Drosophila melanogaster: one gene and its partner. The protein of the gene in region 2 interacts with the protein of the main gene of each other region in a pairwise test. Each region holds a gene or a part of one and is shown on either strand. Other genes may lie near its edges.

Region 1 (5,707 bases), on a different chromosome or scaffold from region 2:
GTCCGAAAGGGACAGGAAGCCACACACCTCAATCTTCTGGTCTGTGTGGCGAATGGTGGGTTCTCGGCCGAATATGTGGGACTTTTGCTCATACGGAGCCGTCGGTGGCCAGAGCAGAACAGATGCCTCCATGCGGAAGTAGCTGCCGCATTTCAGGGTCACCTCCGAACTCTTGTAGCTGGCCTCGCAGAGACGTTCAATTAGTTCGAAGACCGTAGTGCGGCCCAGTTCGCTTTTGTGGCTGGGGTTCGGGTTGGGATTGGGATTTCCCTCGACTGCATCGCTGCTCTTGGCGGGCTTTGTCATGAAGAGCTGGCCTGGAAACGTAGGTACACCATTAGTTACATGAATATCTTTGAATAGAGTGCAGCTCACCCTTCAGTGAGACCTTGTCCAGCAGCTGCTGGTACACCGCCAATCCCCTGGTGAAGTAGTAATCGCCGTGCAGGCCCAGGCAGATGAAATTCAGGTTGTAGTTGGCCAGAGTCTTCAGGAAGCCGAACTCCGGCTCCGACTCCTTTTCGGCGTAGGCCTCCAGGAAGCCCGTGATCGAGGTGTTGCCAAAGCCGAGGCCGCAGTCCGTAAAGACAACCACCTGCAGGATGTTCTGGTTGCCCCACGGCGACATTATGGACACCACCGCCTTGAGCATGCTCATCAGGCAGGCCTTGTCCACGGGCTCCACCTTCTTGACCGCCTGCCGCACCTGGTCGTAGTCCCGCGTGAAGTCCACCTTCAGTTCCGCCGTCGTCGAATAGGAGAGCAGAGCAACGTGCTCCAATTTGCCGGCCGCCGTGAGATTGTCCAGCAGATGCTGGATGCCCTTGGTGGCCAGCGACTGGTAGGTGTGCTCATTTCTTCCCGGCACCGGGCGCAGCATCGATAGCGATGCATCCAGCGCTATTAAGGTGGGCATTTCGTAGCTTAATTAAATTTATTCAGCGCTTTATTTATGTTTTCTCCAATTTTTGTTATTTATGCATCTTCTTCTTCTTCTGCTCCAGCTGAAGTGCCATTCGCAGCGCAGCGAATAACGGTTTCTAGTTCCAAGTGAATGATTTTTGTCCATAGCTTGGCGCCAAATAGAAATTCAAATACATAAAGTGCTGAATTTACAATCTTGATAAAATACAATCCTAATGGTTATTACTTATTGAGTGAGCTTACATAACTGCCTTCTCCACAAGTAAACGAAATATGCCTAATAAACTTATTTACCCATTTTCGAATCCAATTTCCCGGAATCGCCTCCAGCAGAATTCGATTATATTGGAACAAATAAATGTAAATAAATAACTCAACCCAAACGATTTGGGATGCCAGCTTTTAATTGGCTTGGATTTCGCCGCCCAAATCATTTGTCTGCATTGCGCTCGATGATTTTGTATTAGAATAAATTGAATTTTGATTCGTCGGCACCCCGACTTGCCTCCATGCGGGAACTCATCCCCACTAAACATCTCCCATTTTAATTACTGAACGCATGAGCGGCTGAGAGCGGAGAGAGAGGATCCACTATCGGGGAGCAGCACGGATCCACAGCTGGTACGGAAAAGTCGGCTGGTCCAGCATCATTCCTCGTTCGCAACTCGAGCTGTTAGGACGTCCAGCTCCAAGTTTTCGAGCCAAGTGATCCAAGTGTGTGTGCAAAACAGAGGCTACTCTTCGAACTTGAGCCATTCAATTTCCCCCAAGGGTGAGTTTTTCCCTATCTACCTGGTGCAATGTGCGATTAGTGAACGAGGCCAAAACTTTTCGTACACCCCTCTCAATTCGTCAACCTCTAACCCAATCCTTATCGCCGCGAATATGTCCAACCTACAGCAGAAATCTCCGGGGAAATTGCGATGGCAACTGGTCTTATTGTAATTTCGATTCGCCCTCGCGAATTTCACTCGCTTATTTCTGACCCAATTTCCCGAATGCATCACTTCCTCCATATCTTCCCGCGGAGGAGAATGAATCTGGCACATGCAGTGTCCAGCGGATAATTCGCGTCATTTGTTTATCGCCACAAGAACAATATCGCATCCACATATGTATGTATTTTTAGCGAGGTCCATCCGGACAAGGAACCAATCCGCTTTGTTCCACTGACATTTCTTTATTGCTCGCCTGCACCGCCGCAAATATTGCACATAAATAAGCCTACATTTGTTTACCCCATTGTCGCTAGCGATAAACATTCGCCGACGCAGCTCCAGAGGAAGTATCCGCATCCACTGGCGGCGAACGGAGGCGCCATCGCTACCCATCCTCAATTCCCCGTTTCCGTTCGATTTCGATTTGGATTTCTTTTTCCACAGGTCACCCCACGCAGTGGACTCGCTTACCAATTTAAGATCGCATCGACGCACCAAACCCACGATGGCCGGAGGAAGTCGCCCTCTCCAATTAGTTCTCCTGGTCCTAGTTGCGCTCGCCCAATGGCAACCCATCGCCGCTGGATTGGTCTCGTGAGTAGATTTCATTCATTTTCGGGGAAAAGCTTGAATAAGTACATAGATCTTTGGTCCAATGACATTGTGGAACCCTTCGCTTAAACCACTAAATACCAACACTCCTGGTTCTCCATACACATTATTGATTGCCCAACTCCATCGGAAACTTCCATTAGCGTCGTAAAATCACTCAGATCTTCAGTTTCTAGACCCAATTGATCCGCTGCCACTTCAAGTTCTTCGTTTGAATCTCTTGGAGGGGCCGATGTGGATTCGAGGAACCACAACTGCAGCCCTCCGGTTTTATGGTCTTGACACATGTCACACATCGCGGAGTGGTTCTGGTTCCCGCTCATAATGCCCTCCACTGTGCCCAGACTTCAAACTAAGTGCATTTGTCGGCGCCTGGGGCCGTCGCATATGTGCATCATGGTTGTGGGACGTGCAGTATGGAGTATGGAGTATGGATGCAGCCCATGCACAGCCACTCCCCAGTAGTGAGTGGTGCCTTCAAAGGGAGCCAAGATGTTGGCGCTGCGCCTATTTGTTTGTTTATTTTGGGACTCTGGCTGGGAATGGGGGAGTGCTCCCAGAGCTCCCACTGCTCGCCCATGCAAATGGGCATGTGTTCCGTGTTTCCCCTCCACAGCCACACATAGCCATGCCACATCCATCGCCATCAATGCAGTTCACACAAACAGCGTGCGGAGTGGAGGGCTCCTGACCCTGAGATCCCAGCCCTTAATATTTATAGACGCGCCATCATGGTGGTGGTCCCGCTGCCATCTGCCCTCCCCCACTCCGATGATTAATGGTCCGCAGCGAGGCTAATTTTAAGCCACTAACCCTAACCCCCTACCCTTTCCAGCAACGAGGAGCTGCGCGGAACTATCCAGTCGCTGATCTACTCCTACAATCAGCTGGACAATAAGCTGGAGCGGCACGAGCATCGCGAGCGTGCGTTGGGCGAGCTGCTCAAGAAGGCGCTGCAGTCGCTCCAGAAGGGCCAGAAGAGCCTGGAGCCCATCAATGGGATCTTCGGGCGCCTGGACGAGCGGGTCAGCCAGATAGAGACCATGCTGATCACGGTAAGTCAGCCATAAAGGGGTAGTAGATGTTATCATCCAAACTTATCCGATCCTCAGCAAGAGGAGAAGTACAACTCGCAGTCGGACCGCTTCAACCAGGCAACGGAGCACATGTTCAAGTGGATGCGGGAGAACGACGAGTGCTTCAAGAGGCCGCCGGTCAGCGCCAACATGATCGCTCCCCCAGCCGCGGCCGCCCCACCCGCCATTCCCAAGGAGTTCCTGGAGGATCAGAAGCGCCTCAACGCCAAGCTGCTCGAGGAGATCCAGAAGTTGTCGGCCAGCGTGGCCGCCCTCAAGGAGAGCAGCCAGAAGGCGTCCGATCAGACCCAGAAGCGCCTCGAGGGTCTGCCCAAGGCACCGGAGCTGCTGTCCCAGATCGAAGCCAAGCTGCAAGAGCACGCGGCCAGCGTGACCACCGCCGCTCCACCGAAGAACGCTGAGTTCGAGGCCCAACTCCTGGAGCGTCTCACCTCGCTGGGCGGCCAGGTGAGCTCTCTAAGCGAGACTGTGCAGCGACCAGCTGCTCCGGTTGGCCTGAGCGAGACGGATCGCGCCTACATCCAGGAACTGAACAACGATACCCTGAATGCGCTGGCGCAGCTGAAGAGCGAGTCCTCGGTGGAACAGAAGTCAGGTGAGTGTAGAACTCATCGCAATTGGGGGTCAATCCACATTCACTTCCTCATTCCCTATTATGCATACAGCTGCGACGGAGGCCACGGAGCGACTGCAGCAGGCGGAGGCCAACATCCAGGCGGACGTTCGCCAGCTGTCCGCGGACGTGGGCATTCTCAACAAGCACTTCGCCTCGACTAACGAGAGCAATGCCAAGCTGAACGAGGGACTCGAAGCGCTCGGTAAGTTCAACAACATCATGATGACCAACTCGGAGGTCGTGCTGGACACGCAGCGCAAGGTGGACTTCGGCACACTGAACGTGGTGCAGCGGGTTGGCAAGCTGCTGGCGGAGGAAATGGCCACGCTGAGCGGACTGCTGAAGGAGCGCTTCTCGTCGCTGGACGGAGCGGTGGTGAGCATCCAGCAGGAGGCGAACAAGAACATCAGCGGACTGCTGGAAACGGAGCTGAACCAGGTGTGGCACCGCATCGAGATCATGGCCGGCGAGATCAGCCAGAGCCGGCTGATGCTCGGAGATATCCAGTCCGCTTCCGATGGCTACAACAACAGCACTCTCATCACCATGATGGGTCTCGGCAGCCGCGTGGAGGAGACCAAGAAACACATGATCGACATGGACGAGAACCTCAACTATCTGCTGGGCAAGCTGTCGCTCATGTCCACCGAGTTCGCCAGCATCAAGAAGGGCCTGGCCGACTCCCTCGAGGATCTGCGCAACTCCTTCCACGGCCTCCACGAGCGGATGCCCACGGGTCCCGGTCCGCACAACATCGACAAGAACACGTATCTGACCGACGTCAATCTCCTGTCCAAGCGCCACGCTGAGCCCGGTCGGGAGTAGAGCGGCTGAGCGCCGGAGATGACACTTGAACGAAAAGCAATACAATACTTTTAACCATAGCGCTTAAGTCTGCCCACTTACATATACTCATCTAGTTGCGCCTTAAGCTTAAGCACAGCAAAACGTCACTCAATAAAGATCGAATATTATGTACAAGATACGAGCTGCTGCGTTGCACCGCCATTAGAAACGCGCGATCCTCTCCAGCAAAAGACACTTTCATGTGAACAATACACTTTTGCAGTTTACTCTTACGAACTAAAAGGAATTCCTGGCGATAATTTACATAATGTTAAGGTAACTAGTTAATATAAGGGTGTCGCTACCCACGCGAACGATGTGCCTACGTGCCCCACCGCTGCTCGCACCGCGAGTACTTGCACAGGATGCTGGCGAACGTCTCCACGTCGAAGTGGCGTCCGCTGGGATGCGTGTGGAACTCGGTGAAGCGCGCGTGCCAGGGAAGCAGGCCGTAGGTGCACGTCTGCCGGGCGAACACGATGCCCAGCTCCGGCTCCGGGGCCTCGAACCCGAGTCGCTTGCTCAGCATGTCGCTGATCTGCTCCGTCAGCGCTTCGCGCTTCTGCTTAAGTAGGCTCTGCACCAACTCCGTCTTACTGTCTTCGTACAACTCGCGGCAGACGTCGGCGATCAGGGCATGGCCGTCGGAGGCGCTGATTTGATGGAGCTGAAAG
Region 2 (5,005 bases):
CGATACATTTTTCCGAGTTTTCTACTTCATGACACCCTCTACGACTAGCCATCCGTTATCTATGTGCCAATGGATGCTAAACCCATTTTTGTCCAATCCCAACAGTCTTTGCATCCTATGCGGAGAAAAGGATTCACATGCTGGAGCGGCACAGGGAGAACCTGACTGCCATCGAGCGGAGTGAGTGCATGCTGTGCCGCCAGCCCTTCTCCAGCGAACCGGATTTGATCCACCACATGTCCGCGGAGCACTTGCAGCGTCCTGGCGCTCCCATCATAGCGAACAACAAACGGGTGCTGCAACAGAAGCGGGAACGCCAGTACTCCGGACTCTTTCAGTGCGGCAGCTGCAGCCAGAGGTTCAACATGAAGTCCGCTCTGGAGCGGCACGCTGCCGTGCATTCCGAGAAGGATCGACCGCACGCCTGCCCGCACTGTTCCAAGCGGTTCAAGCGCGCCCAGGACATGAAGTGGCACATCAAGACCCACGAGAAGGAGAAGCCCAATGTGTGCGATGTTTGCGGCAAGGCATTCGCCCTCAAGTATGTGCTCACCCAGCATCGCTTGAGTCACGAGGGTAAGGATGTCCACATGTACATATGTATTATTAGAAACATGTAATACATCAATCTTTTACAGTCTTGGAGAAGAACTTCAAGTGCAACGTTTGCGGTCGAGCCTATCTGTTTGAGAAGTCATTGCGGCTGCATCAGCGAACTCACACGGGCAAAACCTACTACAAATGCGATCTCTGTCAGGAAAGATTTGTCACGCACATTAAGCTCAAGAGTATGTATGCGAAATCACTCAATGATGCCCTTCCATATAGATGAACATCACTTCCAGCTCACATGCAAAAGGCACACGCCGCCTCTCAGCCGCACTCGGCGGACCAGCCTCTGGACGATCTGATCAACATTGTGATTTCCTAACCAAGTGGAACAGCAAACAGCATAGATTTCTGTTGTAGCCAAGCACAGTGCAGAAACTGCAATGCATTGGAGCGTAGCTCCCGAAACTCAAGCTTACATAGACCATATACATACATGTACCCTCCATCCAATTACACTTACTAGACCATATGCACACACGCAGCGATCTCTGGAACGTGAAAGTGCTTAGAGCTTTATTTAGTGGATATTCCGTAGGGCATAAACCATATAGCTATATCTCTGTCCATTTCTTCGATCGGTCCCTAAGGCACTCCAGCCGCATATCTCTTTCTAACTCTGAGCCATATTAATCTCACAGAACGCCTTTAAACACTACCAGCACATACATACATATATCCATTTGACCACTTAGCGATAAGAAATAAGCAATGAGAACATACAAGATGTTATACGAGCAATCTAAGCTTCGCGGCGAACTTTTAATGCTCAAGAAATGCATTTATTTCCAGATGAAACCGATAAGTATTTACAATAATTACCGAAAATGTATAAGAATATTTAAAATATCAATATACTATGGATTTTATTATGTGTAGTTGCAGATATATTTACCAAATTCATGTTCCGAATAAACATTCATGTGACCAAAGTTTGAATTGCCGTTACTTTTTTAGTTGGGCGGCAGAAATCGATTGGTTTAGACAGCTTTTTGCAATGATTGCAGAACTAGCTTTAAAATAGCGTCAAAAAGCTAGTTCTACTTTAATGACTTGTGTAGTGCGATCTAAATAATTTACTTCATTTATTATGAAATTTCTTTTGATCAGTTGTAGCTAGACAACAGCCAAAAGCTGCCAGCACTGCCGTCGCCCACATCCGATAGTTGCGACTCGTGACTGCGTGAAGAACCAGTGACTTGTATCACCTGCGGCCAAAATTCGCCCATCCCTAGAGAACGTGAACACGTCAGTTTTTAGTTTATAATATTTATAAGCGAAAAGTTCAGTGCACAGCGGTCGCGATTCCGAACTAGAAGTGGCTGCAATGCCCATGGGGAGTACCATCTAAACTCCATAACACACAGACAGTCAAAACAATCAGCTGACCAAGTCAGAAATTACCGAATAATCATCGCAGACGGCGCCGCAAGTTTACCAAAAACGGACGCAAAATCCATAACAGCGAGCTGAAAATAAAGCCGCCAGTGAAAGTTGATGTGCAGGAGGGGAAGCGGTGCGACCGTAGAGATTAGAAGCTGCCACGCCAAGCAGATTCGACGTGCGTGTCGATTGGGAATCAACTCCAAATCACGCCCACACTGGTTTTTTGCGGGGGCATCTAAGTACACGTAGCCATCGTCATGGCCTTGCCATTGAGTGACCTGCTCATGATCGGCGGCGGCGAGAAGAAATTGGCTGCCTGCCTGGTGCTGCTCCTGCTGGAGCTCTTCCTGGAAGGTACGTACTTCAAATCCTTATCTTCGAAGGCATCTGAAATACACGTCATTGTTTCTCGCTCAGGCGCCGAGTCGACGGCCAGTCCAGCGGATATTGAGAACCATCTGGAGCTGGGCAAGGAGTTCCTCGCCCGCGGACAGCTGTCGGATGCACTGACGCACTACCATGCAGCTGTTGGTAAATATAACTGGCTTGTACACACGAAAGAATCGGAATATCTATGACAATACATTTATATTCTTTAATTCACGTGAATTTACATAACATCGCGTTCAAAAGTGTCCATTGGCAACGAATCTAAATATTTTATAAAGATTTTAATTATTTTTGATTAACAAATCATAGAATCGTATGGTTTAAAACATAACCATGTTTTGCAAATGCCAAGGTCAATAAACAAACTTGTATCTTTTGTCTTGAATTTGATGATAACATTAATTTGGTAAACTTTTGTTTAGGACTACATTCATTTGTGCTAGGATATTTTTTAGCCTTTCTATGCCCTCGTCATTGATTTAACCATTATCATTTTCACAGAGGGCGATGCCAACAACTATCTGACGCTTTTCAAGCGCGGCACCGTCTATTTGGCGCTGGGCAAGACGCGCTTTGCCGTCCAGGATTTCAGCAGGGTGCTGGAACTGAAGCCAGACTTTATGGCCGCCCGAATCCAGCGGGGTGTTGTGCACATGAAGAGCGGAGAGTACGAGCAAGCGATCCAGGACTTTGATCAAGTCCTTCAAGAGGAACCCAACAACGGCTTGGTGCTGGAGCACTATTCCCGCTTGGCACCCGCCCAGGAGCAGTGGGTCCTTGTACAGCAGCTGATCCAATACAGTGATCACCAAAACGCCATCCCCATGATCACACAGTTGCTAGAGATCTCGCCGTGGGCTGTGCCCTTCCGGCAGGCTCGCTCTGATGCCTACATTGCAATCAATGATCCACTGTTAGCCATTGCTGACTTGCGACAGGTGAACCGACTCACCCAGGACAGCACTGAGGGTCACTACAAGATTGCACAGCTGCTGTACACAATTGGCCACGCCACAAATGCCTTAAAAGAGATCCGCGAGTGCCTGAAGTTCGACCCGGAACACAAGCTCTGCTTCCCCTTCTACAAGAAACTACGAAAGGTGGAAAAGCAGCTGGTTAACGCAGAGCAAGCGCGTGAGGAGAAGCATTTTGCCGAGTGCATAGCCGCCGGAGAGGCAGTCCTGCGTAACGAGCCGGAGGAGACGATGATCCGGTATGAGGGACACAAGGTGCTCTGCACTTGCTACACGGGCGACGAGCAGTTTGGCAAGGCTTTGCAACAGTGCAAGGAGGCACTGGATATTATGAAGGATGCTCAGGTCTACTGTGATCGTGCTGACGCATTGCTGGGCACCGAAATGTACGACGATGCCATACACTCCTTCCAAGCAGCTCTCGACCTGGAAGAGAGCAACACCCGCGCTAAAGAAGGCATCCAGAGGGCAAAGAAGCTGCAGAAGCAGTCAGAGCGCAGGGATTACTATAAGATATTAGGCGTTAAGCGTAGCGCCAGCAAACAGGAGATTGTGAAGGCCTACAGGAAGGCGGCGCAAAAGTGGCATCCGGACAACTTCCGCGACGAGGAAAAGAAGGTGGCCGAGAAAAAGTTTATTGACATTGCCGCAGCCAAGGAGGTTCTCACGGATCCCGAGAAGCGTCGTCAATTCGACAACGGCGAGGATCCATTAGATCCTGAGAGCAATCAGCGTGGCGGCTTCCATGGCGAACATCCGTTTGGACACTTCCAACACGGGTCGCCGTTCCAGTTCAAGTTCCACTTCAATTAGTCAGCCAGCAGCCATTTGCTTTGTGATGTCCTAGCCGCGATCCCCGATATCCTTTAACGATTTTACACTGTTTTGTTCATTTAAATGGCGTGTAAATAGTAGCATAAAGCATAAATAAACCCATGGTCCGTTGTCAGAGAGTACCACAAACAAACACAAATCGCAACAAAACACACTGAGCACTTACATTTAATTAGTTTATTTAATACAATACAATAATTATAATGTAGTACATTTTTCTAATTATGTATAAAAAGAAACAATATGCGAGAACAAGCAATTAAAGACTTGGCAAATTGAGTTGAATATTTGTTAGTTTTGAACATGTTTGGAATTGAAGTAGTAGTCTTAAGGTGCAAAGTCGTCATAAATATTCCTTCGCTGTAGTCTGTGGTTGAAATGCGTGGAGTAACCAAAACCAAATGTATTCCGCGATATGAACGCTTCTCAGGCGTTGGGTGTCAATACCACGTACACCATGGTGGCCAGCATCACTGACACTACCAATATTAAGTAGAATTTGAGATTATATTTTTGATCCAATGACACCGCCAGTGCACGGAACTGCGCCATAGGCGAAACCTGATCGTGGTGTCTTACCAGAGGTTTTCTAGCCAGCGGCGAGAAGCGATTCTTTTGGAAATGGCTATTGATGGGTACTTCCTCGACTTCGGACTCGCTCTCCGTCTCCATGGGTTCGCCTGCGTCATTCGGCTGATCGTAGAATTCATTTAGTTGTGGATATAGAGTGTTTACTGCGGTGGTCGGCTGGAGCAGGCGACCACGGGCCAGATTGGATCCACTAACTGGAACACTCTGTCGCTGGCGAATGG

Evidence for each region. The genes of interacting proteins can lie anywhere in the genome.
Region 1: the proteins of P58IPK (region 2) and CG5080 interact in a two-hybrid assay, tested with the Drosophila melanogaster proteins (one large-scale study listed by BioGRID).

What each region holds. Positions count from the first base shown.
Region 1 is NT_033779.5:1,159,749-1,165,455, reverse strand, and holds CG5080 (uncharacterized protein), read left to right. Parts: upstream 1-1,569; 5' UTR 1,570-2,367; coding exon 2,368-2,456; intron 2,457-3,309; coding exon 3,310-3,529; intron 3,530-3,586; coding exon 3,587-4,166; intron 4,167-4,236; coding exon 4,237-5,012; 3' UTR 5,013-5,166; downstream 5,167-5,707. Other genes in the region: IntS14 (integrator 14), read right to left, coding at 1-317, 376-916; Tango14 (transport and golgi organization 14), read right to left, coding at 5,356-5,700.
Region 2 is NT_033777.3:9,585,111-9,590,115, forward strand, and holds P58IPK (P58IPK), read left to right. Parts: upstream 1-1,831; 5' UTR 1,832-2,252; coding exon 2,253-2,349; intron 2,350-2,412; coding exon 2,413-2,526; intron 2,527-2,886; coding exon 2,887-4,172; 3' UTR 4,173-4,471; downstream 4,472-5,005. Other genes in the region: CG8301 (uncharacterized protein), read left to right, coding at 106-576, 639-788, 846-931; bocks (bocksbeutel), read right to left, coding at 4,620-5,005.